Caenorhabditis elegans: one gene and its partner. The protein of the gene in region 1 purifies or fractionates together with the protein of each later gene. This does not show direct contact. Each region holds a gene or a part of one and is shown in the gene's direction. Other genes may lie near its edges.

Evidence for each region.
Region 2: the proteins of gcy-18 (region 1) and madf-8 fractionate together in Caenorhabditis elegans (co-fractionation; one large-scale study listed by BioGRID). This does not show direct contact.

The regions. Positions count from the first base shown.
Region 1 is NC_003282.8:12,858,204-12,866,138, forward strand, and holds gcy-18 (Receptor-type guanylate cyclase gcy-18), read left to right. Parts: upstream 1-1,893; 5' UTR 1,894-1,933; coding exon 1,934-2,205; intron 2,206-2,285; coding exon 2,286-2,395; intron 2,396-2,446; coding exon 2,447-2,527; intron 2,528-3,265; coding exon 3,266-3,366; intron 3,367-3,650; coding exon 3,651-3,825; intron 3,826-3,871; coding exon 3,872-4,164; intron 4,165-4,204; coding exon 4,205-4,352; intron 4,353-4,610; coding exon 4,611-4,819; intron 4,820-4,865; coding exon 4,866-4,954; intron 4,955-5,004; coding exon 5,005-5,094; intron 5,095-5,335; coding exon 5,336-5,756; intron 5,757-5,909; coding exon 5,910-6,111; intron 6,112-6,157; coding exon 6,158-6,343; intron 6,344-6,394; coding exon 6,395-6,566; intron 6,567-6,615; coding exon 6,616-7,408; 3' UTR 7,409-7,753; downstream 7,754-7,935. Other genes in the region: nstp-5 (UDP-galactose transporter), read left to right, coding at 298-374, 740-1,044, 1,093-1,171. UniProt on the Caenorhabditis elegans protein: Guanylate cyclase involved in the production of the second messenger cGMP. Regulates thermotaxis responses in AFD sensory neurons. May regulate AFD neuronal activity such as calcium responses to temperature gradients.
Region 2 is NC_003281.10:3,648,036-3,652,471, reverse strand, and holds madf-8 (MADF domain-containing protein), read left to right. Parts: upstream 1-1,639; 5' UTR 1,640-1,724; coding exon 1,725-1,731; intron 1,732-1,775; coding exon 1,776-1,882; intron 1,883-2,162; coding exon 2,163-2,225; intron 2,226-2,272; coding exon 2,273-2,400; intron 2,401-2,450; coding exon 2,451-2,578; intron 2,579-2,624; coding exon 2,625-2,817; intron 2,818-2,867; coding exon 2,868-3,020; intron 3,021-3,435; coding exon 3,436-3,559; 3' UTR 3,560-3,680; downstream 3,681-4,436. Other genes in the region: gsr-1 (Glutathione reductase, mitochondrial), read right to left, coding at 1-425, 476-833, 889-1,143, 1,462-1,496; Putative potassium channel regulatory protein unc-93, read right to left, coding at 3,697-3,774, 3,824-3,920.

The DNA.
Region 1 (7,935 bases):
AAATGTATTTTTTATACATTTCCCTCTATTCAAGTGTGTAGAAAAATGTAAAAAAACGCATGCATTTTTTTTGCATTTTTTTTTACATTTTTCTGTTTTTTTCTAGAAAAATACAGAAATGTCGAAAATGCAAAAAATTCATGTGTTTTTTAACATTTTTCTGCACACATGTATAGGGGAAAATGCATAAAAATACATTTTTGCATTTTTCGTCATCACATGAATAACCCCATTAAAATTTTAATTTTTCGATTTCTCTGAAAATGAAAAAAAAACCTAAAAAATGAACAATTTCAGGTTCAAATGTGTCGATTTGGATCAGAAATATCCAGCTGGCGTTCCCATCGATTTTCTTCGCTTTTCTCTTTGCATCGGTACGGATTTGCAGAATTATGCTCAAAATGGCCGGGGAAGCCTGAAAAAATGCGAGAAAAAGCTTTAAAAAAAGCTGAAAATCATCAAATATCACGATTTTTATATTTTTAAAGTTTATTTCAAATCAATTTTTTAGTAAAAAATTTAATTTTTTGCATTAAAAAAAATTATTTTTTATTTGAATGATTTTCAAGATAATTTCTTCAAAAAGTTCCGTTTTTCTTGGGACCAAAAAAAACCAAAAAAGTACTATTACAAAAAAATTTTAAATTTAACATTGAAACTGTCAATGAACATTTTGACCATTAATTAAAATTTAAAAAAAATTAAAGTTATTCTCGCTTTCTCACATCCAATTTTCCAGGTAAAAGACAATTCAAGCCTCTACCAAGACGGCCCGAACCCAATCGAAATCTGGAATAACATGCTTCAAGGATTCGACTGGGCAGTCTGGGTTACTGTAGCCATCAACGCATTCGGAGGACTCGTTGTTGCAGTCGTCATCAAGTATGCTGATAATATTCTCAAGGCATTTGCAACATCACTTGCCATCGTTCTCAACTGTATCGCTGCTTACTTCCTGTTCAACTTCCGTCCATCGATTCTCTTCCTCGTCGGAGCTTCTGGTGTTATCGCAGCCGTCTTCGCCTATAGCATGTACCCGTACAAGTGAGTAATTCGGGTATTGAAGTGGAAAATTCATGTTTTTTTTTGCAGAGCCTCTCATCAAGCCCTGCCAACCGATGCGCCGAAAGAAGTCGAGTTGCAGCCTGTGGTCGAGAGCAGCAAATCATAAATTTCATCTCTTAGAAATGTTTTATTATGGGAACGCAGAAAAATGCGCTTGTTGAAATCGATGCAACTGAGCTCCACTGCTAAATGAGAACGATCCGCCTTTAAACGTTGGGTCTCGTTAGGTATTGGCGACAAAACCAGCAATTCTAACGTTTTCCATCATTTTCGCCGATTTCAACCAATTTTTCGTCTTTGTACTATTTTCCCGTTGAAATTGATGAAAAACCTTTTTTGACAAAAAATCTTATAAAAACAATGGAAAATCACCGAAAAAACGGGACTCAAAGTTTGCCATTGGAGCGCGCTTGCACCTCAATTTCAAAGCTCTCATTTTTCTGCGTTTCCATAATATTTAAAAATTTTAATCACAAATCTATAATATCAAACCCCCTTCTTCTTGTTTCCATGTCATTCCTTCCAAATATGTTCATAGCCAAAAAATGTTCACTGTTTTTCATCTTTTTAAAATGTTTTTTATCTCCGGGTTTCTATTGTTTTCTCTGTTTTGTTAATAAGAACGAATTTTATAAGTAAATATAAGTAATAGTAGTACGTAACACATGAAAATCCTTCGGAAAAACTAATCAAACTAATGCATATTGTACGGATGGATAATCTAGTACTGACGTATTTTGAGTAGACACAGTAGTTAATCTTAAATTTAAGCAGCTCAAATCAGATTTCAAGTGAAGCGGCAACGTGGAAGAGCTCAGTTGGAAGAAATAGATATTTCGCAGCTACTTTGCAGTCGGAGCATCAGAAAATGCTAAAAACGTTGCTTTTTATTCTAATTTTCTTTAATATTCCCATTATTGCCATTGAAGAAATCCCGGATATCAAAGAAAACGGTGAAAAATCGTCGTACACTCAATTCGACAATGGCGCCAAACTGGAGGTCAATAAAGAGCACAAACGCGTCATTAAGATTGGTCATATCGGAGCTGTCGGGGTGATGCCGAATGATGCTCGAATTTTGAATATTAGCAAGGAAAATCTGATCGAAGAGGGTCTTGTCGGCGATGATATTGAATTTGAGTAGGTTTAGAAGAGTATAAGACAACAAAATTATTGAAAAAAAAACACAACTTGCACTACTGATCTTTTGTGCGATTTAGGATAGTGTCACGACAGGCTTGCAGTGAGAGTTTTGAGGGAGTTGCAGTCGCTGCAGAACTATATCATGTTCATCAGGTCAGAGCCTTTATTGGACCGTACTGTGCAGCAGGTTTCCACTTGGCAAGCTGTTGATTGGTGGCTTAATTGAGTGGTTTTTCAGAGCTCGAAGCTGTGACAAAAATGGCAACTTTCTGGAATATTCCAATTATCTCTTATTCTAGTGTTCCAAATGCTGTTTCAGGTAATTTTAAACATATCACGTGGTGTCAGAGTGTCTCATTTCGGCTTGATCTACGTAGATCTACAAAAAATGCGGGAGAAGAGACGCAGAGTTCTCATCTGGTTTTGCATGGTTAAGAACGTGCTGACGTCACATTTTTATGGACAAAAAATTCCCGCATTTTTTGTAGATCAAATCTTAATGGGACAGCCATGGCATCACGTGACATGTCGATATACTCTTGTGAACCATTTTATGTAAACCCTATTGTTTTCGAATTTATGAGTCGTTTCAAGTTATGTACCGTGGAGTAATGTAGAGTACCGAAATTTGAGACTTTGCTTTTTTATACCCAAAATGACCCAAAACTACCGAAATTCTACACGAGACCTTTTGAAATTTTCTCAAAAAAAAGTTATGGCGGTTCAAAGTTTAGGAAAATAAAGCTCTTTTTAGCTAAAATCACAATTTTTCCAACTTCAATTATTATTTTCAACTAGTCTCAGATTTCAGTACTCCACCTTTAACTTAATTATATCAATTTTGAAAACTTCTGAAACGCGCACTGAAAGCCGTACGAATTAATTCTGTTGGGTCTTGCCACAAAACCTCGTGACGAGACCTTATAATCCGTGCGATTTATTTATGCATTTCACTGTTTAAACTCGGGCTAGGGACCTGGCATAATCGAAACTTTATTAGACCTTTATTAGATTAATCAATTTAAATTAGTTAATTGTTGAAATTCAAACATTTCAGATCGTAGTGTCTACAAAACATTGGCAAGAGTTTCGTCGAAAAACACAAATTCTATAGCAGAAGCGACAGTCGCCTTGCTTCTACACTACAAGTGGCTAAAGGTATCCAGATTTAATTTCACATTCTTGACATCTTGGGCGTCAAAAGCCTTAAATTATTTCTGCTAAACAATTTTTCATCTGAAACCTTGGAATTGAAATCATATGGGGAAAATATTTATTGTGGCATTTTTGTGTGTTCAGTTTATTCACTAAAGTTTAAGATTAAAATTTTGCATTTACAAGCCTTTTTGCTGAAAACAAATTCCAGCTGTTTTATGATTCCAAATACCTGGTTCAAGTGCCAATAACCTAGTGTGTTCCGCAATACTCCAAAAAAATTGCAGGTGGCTATCGCTACAAACACCGGAAGCACAGCTTTTGAAAGAGTCTCAATTTTCGAAGAAATCATGCACAGGGAAGGTGTGACTATAGTCAAAAAAGTAATGTTTGATGAGAACACTGATGCAAACGAAATGATGAATTCCGGGCAACTCGGAGATTTGGCCGCTAACGCGAGAAGTTTGTTTCAGCAGTTTAATTACCTCTGATCTCTAATACTTTCCAGTAATAATTTGCCTCTTCTCATCTACAAAAGAACTATCCAAAGAGTTTATGCAAGCTACGTACACAATGAGAATGAATAATGCAGAGTATGCCTATATAATTCCATGGTTGCAAAGTGGAACGAAAGATTTGACGCCGTGGATTGGAGCAGATGGGGAAATGCTCCAAAGAGTTAAGGATCATTATGCGAATGCTATTATAGTTGATGACGTCAATGGATTTGATGATAGTGTTGTTAGCTCTTTTGTCGAGAAGATTGAGAAACATGGAATGCAGAAATCTGATATTGATGTGGTATGTCTAATAGAGTTTCAGAGAAATAAGTTAATTTCAGACTAATATTAATGGATATCTTCACTTGTTTGATTCTCTAAAACTTTATGCATTGGCAATTCGGAAAGTGTTGAATGAAACTGATAATGAGGCTTATGTGACTAATGGACAATTTATTTGGAATAGAATGAGACGAATGAAATTTGAAGGTAATTTTACTTTGTGTTTGTAGTTTCCGTTGGGATTTTATCGCCAGCTTTCTGCCGCACTTACAAGCCACCTGCCTTGCATTGACATATCTCTGCCCTACATTGTCAGCTTTCTCCCAAGCATTGCCAGCATTTTGCCGCAACAGGTCAACTTTCGCCCGCAAATTCTACCCCGCGCTAGATTTTCCGTATAGGAACCCCTTCGTCTTCCCAGTTCATAAAAACCTAAATATTTTGCATCTCAAATTATAAATTCAGGAGTTGTGAGCAGATCCAGCTCTGAGGAGAATAAAGACGCAGGAGCAATTGGCACAGTGCTCATGGATGACGTAGCAGATCGGGCACCAATCTTCTCAGCATTCTATATATCTCCAAATCGGGATAAAGTCATGAAAATGGTGAATATGGAAAGCGAGTTAATATCCAACTGTGATGGATTGAAGAATAAAAGTGGATGTTTCCAACTGGTGAGTCAGAACATTTCTGGGATGTTCTACAATTAAAGATTTTCAGAAAATCAACGACATCAAATCGGGGTTCTGGCCAAGCGAGGATGGCTCAATGCCACTTGATGAGCCAATTTGCGGATATCGAGGACAGAGGTTGTCTAGATTTAAAAAAAAAAAAAAATCTAAATATTTTCAATTTTCAGATGCAGTTACCTACTGGAAATCAGTGTTGGATCACTTATCATTCTTTTAATTTTAATATCAGTTGTGTTTTTCTTCTTGTTTAGATACTGGTGAGCTTTTAAATATTTCTAGCTAAAAATCTTCAAAAGATGAAAATTCATGAATTTTACTTTGAAAAATTAGAGCAGCTGACATCTTACGGGTTGGGTTTTGACCTTTTAAATTTTTTAGGGCGAGAACTAAGTCGCAAGGTGTCGGCTGCTTTAATTAGGTATTTTCAAACTTGAAAAGAACAACAGAAAAACGCAATGCCTACCTCCTTCCTACCTGCCTACATACCTAACATTTAAGCGAAAACAAGCAACTTGAAAAGATGCCTTGGCGAATTTTCCACGACGATCTGCAGTTCATCGACGAGGAGCAAGTCAAATCAATGATGTCAGTTGGCTCAGTGACTACCAAGTTGAGCAATATACAGACAGGTCAAAAGCAGCATGCAATAATTGGTGTGAACACCCACACCACCTATCATCGTTACAAACAAAGAAGACCCATCAAGTTTATAAAAGAGGACATGCAGTTGCTGACACAAATGAAACAAGCGGTTCATGACAATTTGAATCCATTCCTTGGAGCTGCTTTTAATGAGAAAGAGGAAATGTTGGTTTTGTGGAAGTTTTGTAGCAGAGGAACGATTCAGGATATAATCTACAATGCAAATGTAGTACTTGATGAGAAGTTCCATGGAGCTTTTGTTAGGGATATTACTTTGGTAAGTTAGGCACTTGGTAGGTAACATCTCAAGGGTTTGCACCTGATTAATGCCTACTGGTGTTATCAAAAGTAACGAAACGTTCATGTTGTGAGGTTAAAGTTAACAATATGAGATTACAACGACAAGTTCAGAAATGTCGGATGTTCTCAGGGTTTGGAGTATCTTCACGCGTCGCCTATCGGCTATCACGGATCCCTTACACCATGGTGTTGCTTGATTGATCGAAACTGGATGGTTAAGCTGTCGGATTACGGTATCGCTAATCCACTGGAACGATGGGAAAAGCAAGGGGCTATTGAGATTGCTGCTGCAAAAGATTCGGACGATAAGAGTCAAGCATCGCAGGCAACTTGTGAGTTTTCTGTTAGAGAAACTGGGGGAAAATCAAGCATTTTCAGCAATAATCTATATGGCTCCTGAACTTCTGAAAAATCGAGAAACAAACAAGAGAAGAGGAATGGATCAAAGTTGGGTGAAGCAATCAATGCTGAGAAGACAAGCCGGAGATATTTATTCGTTCGGGATGGTCATGTATGAGATTCTATTCAGAAGTTTGCCCTTCCGGGATAATACAAACATCAGTGGTATGGAAATTTTGTTTGCTAAATAAAAAAAAGCTTATTTATTTTTTTCAGAACTTGTCGACTATCTAGCAGACGGATCGAAAACCGTGTCACCGGAGATTCAAAACCAAATGGGACTCCATCCAGATCTGAACGCTCTGCTGAGGGATTGCTGGAGTGAGAATCCAGAGATTCGGCCGTCGATTCGACGAGTTCGACTGAATACGGAGATGGTCTTGAAAACGTGAGACTATTTGGAATTCATTTAATATAGGGAAAAGAACAGTTTTCAGAAAAGGAAGTCTCGTTGATCAAATGATGAAGATGATGGAACAATACGCAAACAATCTGGAGAAGCTTGTCGCTGAAAGAACTGGAATGTTAGAAGAAGCCAACATCCGTGCTGACCAACTCCTCACCCAACTCCTACCAGCCTACGTGGCAAATGAGCTGAAAATGGGAAGATCTGTTGCTCCGAAGCTTTATTCATCGGCGACAATTCTATTCTCAGATATTGTCGGATTCACTACAATATGCTCCGGCTCAACTCCACTGGAAGTTGTCAATATGCTTAATGGGCTGTACACTGGATTTGATGAATGTATAACTCGGAATAAGAGTTACAAAGTGGAAACTATCGGAGACGCTTATATGGTTGTATCTGGGATCCCTGAAGAAAATGAATATAATCATTCGAGGAACATTGCGAATACTGCACTAGACATGCGTCAGTACCTAACCGGATATCAAATTCCACATCGTCCAACCCATCGTGTCCGTTGTCGCTGGGGATTCCATACAGGATCCGTCGCCGCCGGAGTCGTCGGGTTGACGTGTCCAAGATATTGTCTCTTCGGTGATACTGTCAATGTTTCGTCAAGAATGGAATCAACTGGAACGCCTGGAATGATCCAAATGAGTGAGGAGGCTCATATGCACATTAGAGCTCATCATCCGGTGTTTACAACGACTGAAAGAGGAGAGGTTCAAGTGAAAGGAAAGGGCACTTGCAGGACATTCTGGTTGGAGGATCGAGTTGGTGACGCCTCGACTACAAACTACATTCAGAATGTGGAAGGAGTTTAGCTACTCAGCTCTGAAATCTATAAAATTTCAAAATGATAACTTTCCTTATTTTTGATAACTATACATACTGTCCCTACCAATTGAACCTTTTTGTTGCTTTTTCTGATGGTACACCCTTTTTGGTCCTTTTGTAGTTTGCCTATTAATCACAGAAATAACTCGTTCAGCTTTCCTATTTTTTAAACTTCTTTACGTTATACAAACATCGTCATTTAAAAAAAATCTTCATAACTTATAATTGGAACTTTACATTTTCCGACCATCCTACCTGATAATTCTCACCATTTTCCCATATTTATATAATTACAAAAAAATGAATAAATAATTCCAGGTTGAAATTTGAAATGAAAAAAATTGATAATGGAAAATGTCATCGAAACACAGACCTAAAATGACCTTATCCAAAAAATGACGTCTGTGGACCTTTGGGCGTGTAGGCACAAGCTCTTATCTTATCAGCCGGGTTGAAAAATAAAATAAAATGTCATACGAATTTTATCGAAAACTGAATAACCGCAAGAAGTGCT
Region 2 (4,436 bases), on another chromosome or scaffold:
GTGGCAATGTTCTCATAAGTCAACTTATTATCAGTTTCACCATTGAACAGACGATGAGAGAGTCGACGTCCGGCAGCAATTGCGACTGGTGTGAGAAGGAACTTTCCAGTATCATCTCCAACAGACAAAATTCCTGGAGCAGATGTGTTCTGGTACTCATCGACAATAATATGCCCAGATTTGTCGGTTTTCACTCCAACACGTTCCAGATTAAGCTCTTTTGTCAGTGGATCTCTTCCGATGGCCCAAATCAAAGTCTGAACCTTTTCGATGACTCCAGTCGTTGTCTTGATTGTCAAAAGACCATCATCTCCTTTGATTACTTCTGTGACTTGAGTATTTTTGTGCAAGTGAAGTGGATTCGTTTCCTCGTCCATATCAGCAGTAAGTTCATCGCTGAGCATTTTGTCAAATGTGCGGAGAACCTGAAAATTATTTAGTTAAACTTGAAAAGTTTCCATGTTCCTCATGGTACCTTATCGTAACGAATAAGAAGATGCGTGTCTGAACCAAGATTTGCGAGAACTCCAGCAATCTCTACGGCAATATAACCAGCTCCAACGACAACGGTCCGGCTTGGCAGATCTTCGAGATCGAAGAATCCGTCGGAATCAATACCGTGTTCGGCTCCTTTGATGTTTGGAATGGTTGGCTTTCCTCCAACAGCGATGAGCGTGTTCTTTCCACGATACTTCGCTCCGTTGACCTCAACAGTTCCGTCTTCTGCAAAAGTTGCACGTCCTCGAATATATTCGACTGAGGATCCTTTCAGTCCACTCTCATAAAGACCATTGAGTCGTTTGATGTACTCATCTCGCGATTTTTTGATCACTCTAAAAAACAAAACAATTAAGAATTATTTGATTAAACTAATTAAAAATTACTCACTTCCAATCAAACTTGTTAAGCGTCACATCAAATCCGTAATCAGCGTGGTCCCGGATGAATTCGGCGTGGAGAGAGCAATTGTACATAACTTTCTTCGGAACACATCCAACATTGACGCAAGTTCCTCCGAGACGTCCAGATTCGATGAGCCCGACGGAAACTCCGAATTCACGAGCACGCCGAGCAGAAGCGATACCTCCAGATCCTCCACCAATCACCAAATAGTCGAACTCCTTGACGCCAGACATGATCGACCTGGAACTCGAATTTTAATAATTAAAAGTTGGAAAATAACAGAACTTGTAAGAACATCGAAAGAGAGGCGCGATTGAAAATTCGCAGAAAAATCAAAGCTTTATTTCTTTTCAGTCGCGAAGTGGACTTTAAAGTTTATTTTTCGAATGAAATACTCAAAATCGACTGACGCAAAAACGATGACAAATTACAAAGATAGCAAAGCGCGACTACAAACATGTGACCGCCCTTCTTCCGAAATTCGAGAGGTTTTATGGAAATTTGACTCCACAAAGACTACAAAAACTTTTTTTAAACCAAAAAGTAACAATTTAATACCTCGAAGTGCTCAAAATGCAGCGAAATCGGAGCATTCAGAAGGGTTCACAGAAGTTTTTAGACATTTGATCAGCAAAAAATAAACAAACATCAAGGACTAAATTGTGCGCCCAAGTTGCAAATAGCTCGCGCCCATTTTGCGAATTGAAAACTCCGCCCCTTTTTCAGCGCGCGAAGAGTTTAAAATTTGAAATTTAGAAGTTTTTTTGGAAATTAAAAATTCCGCTCAATTTTCCAAACGGATTCGCACGCTGGAATAAAAAATGACAGGTAAATGTTGAAAAATGGTCTATATGAATCTCTCAATTTTTCAGAAGTTGAAAAATCTCGAAGCGGCCGAATAGTGAAGCGAAAAGTGTTTGCCGATTTTCAACAACTCGATGACGACTTGAAATCAATTACAACGGAGGAATTAAGAGAGGTAAAAAAGACAAAGAACAATCGCGAACGTTCTTCGCAGTGTCGGGGCAATGACAAATAGAAAGAAACACTGATTTGGTCAATAGTGGAGTGCGCAGAGAAGAAAGACAATTTTATTAGAAAAAAACCAAAAAGAGCGCGAGTGGGCAATAAAATTAAAATAGTGATTATTTATATGTAGTTTCAATCAATTCAATCAGGCACAAGAAAAAACTAATAAATGATGACAAAAGTTTCACTGAAAACTAGAAAAAATGATGACAAATCAAACATTTTTTCAGAGCGCCAGCGAATCGAAGAAACTTCGTCTTGGACCAACTAGAAGATCTTGTCGCAATATTCCGGTACAGCTTTTTATAATATTCGTTTCAATTCTATTCAAAGATTTCAGACAAATTACGAAGAATTAAAAGCGAAAACTGATGCCGGAATTATTCCCGAAACAGTTTATTATCGAGCATCCAACAATTCGATGTACATTCCTTCAATTACAGCCGATATGCTCAAGAATGATGGAAAGTATGAATTAAAACATTTATTATCAGATTTCTTTTTTATCCTTTTTTCAGTGATTTGACTGTGCAAACACGCTCAGACAAGTATTTTAAGTACAATCGGGTCCGCCAATCTACAAAAATCGATTACGCGGAGCCTGAAAAAGTGTACGATATTATATATGCAGTTCGGAAAAGGCCTAGTAAGTCAGGAAATCAAGAAGTTTTTCCAAAAATTTCCCTTTTTAGTCCTATGGGATCAACGCCTGATTTGTCATCGGAATTCGAATTTGTCTCGCCGTGCTTGGGATCAACTCGACTTGGAACTTGGAATAGATGAAGAGTATCCATTGGCTCGGCGTAAACAAATCTGGAAGAGTAAAAGAGATTATTTCGTATCAGCGGTGAACGCCGCCAATCTGAGAAAATGGATTTATGCAGAGTACGGCTGGAAAATTGAAAATAATGAAATGAAAATAATAATTTTTTCAGTGCATTAGAGTTCTACCGTCCAATGATAAATTTCCGAACGACATTCTGTCTCCGTCCAACCGTCGCTCAGCCATCTCAAAGTGTTCATGATAAATTAGTATTGGCTGATAAGAATATCCAATGCACACCTGGTGATAAGAAAAATGTTCTGACGTGAGGAAAATTCCCAACATAAAAAGTGTACTCCTCGAAGAGAAGTTTGCATTTTATTTTTAAAAATTCACAACTTTTGGGTATATTTTGATCTATTTTGAACCATCTTCGCCAATTCTTTTGCTGTAAAAAACTTCAAAAAACAAAAAAAGTATAGAAAACATGATTAAAAAATCCTTTTTCTATTTTCAGCAGGAATTTTGAATACAGCTCGACGGGTGCTAAACCAATTTGGGTCCCGTCACGAAAACTACTGTAACTACAAAACGGTGCTCTAAACTCGAATACAGAAAAAATTAGCTCAAACAGTTCCAAATCAAGAATTTTAGCCGAAAACTGTGTTCTTCTTCTTCTCGAGGAGTACACGACTTGCGTAAATCGACACATACGGCTTAATCCTATTAAATTTTTCCAGATTTCTTCTAAAATCTCTCTACGACACCGGAATGTCGAGTCCCGAAATGATGGCTGAGCATGGACTGGAAATTCTGAAAATTTTCAAGAAAAACGCAGAGTCTAGCAATTTGAAACTCAATTAGCCACCCGCCACGTTTTATTAATTTTTATCACATATTTCTCATTTTACTGCATTTTGTTATACTTCTCGACTTTTCGAATTTTTAATAAAACATAAAGTACGAATTTATTAACTGATTTTTTTGATTTTTAATTATTTTCATTCAAAATCTGAATTTCTATCATCCAACGGTTCCTTCTCTGGACATGACGTGTGAATTAAGTGATGCCAAAATTTCTGGAAAATTTAAAATTAGAAAAAATTAATTTCTTCGAATCAGCCTTACAATAATGTGATCGAAATTTTCAATTGCTAAAAATCCGCACATTCCTAAAAGTAGCATGAAGAATGTTATCAGCAAATATATTTCAACTGTGACGTGTCTGAAAATTCAATTATTTTTCAAGTTAAATCTAGCGTGGCCGGGAAATTTAAAAGAAAACTCGGCCACCTGTTTTTTTCACGGCCAACATTATTATGGAGACGCAAAAAATGCGAATAGTCAGATTGAGGTGCAAGCGTGCTCCACGGCTAAATGCAAATGTCCTGCCCCCAAAAGCTGGGTCTCGTTAGGTATTGGGGACCAAAACGCGAATTTTAACGTTTTAAATGTTTTTTGTGTTTCTAAAAATGTTTTTCGTCATTTTTTCCACTAATTATGTTTAAAAATACGTTTTTAGTTTAAAAAATAGTTCAATTTTTAAATTCCACTTTATTTCATCAATTTCGGCGAAAAAATCCTTACAAAGAACGGAAAATATAACAAAAAAAACGAAAAATGCATGGAAATCGGCGAAACTAATTGAAAAAGTTTGAATTTACAAGGTCCCACCACAACTACCTAACGAGACCCTACTGTAGGGGGCGGAGCGTTTTCAATTGCCCGTGGAGCGCGTTTC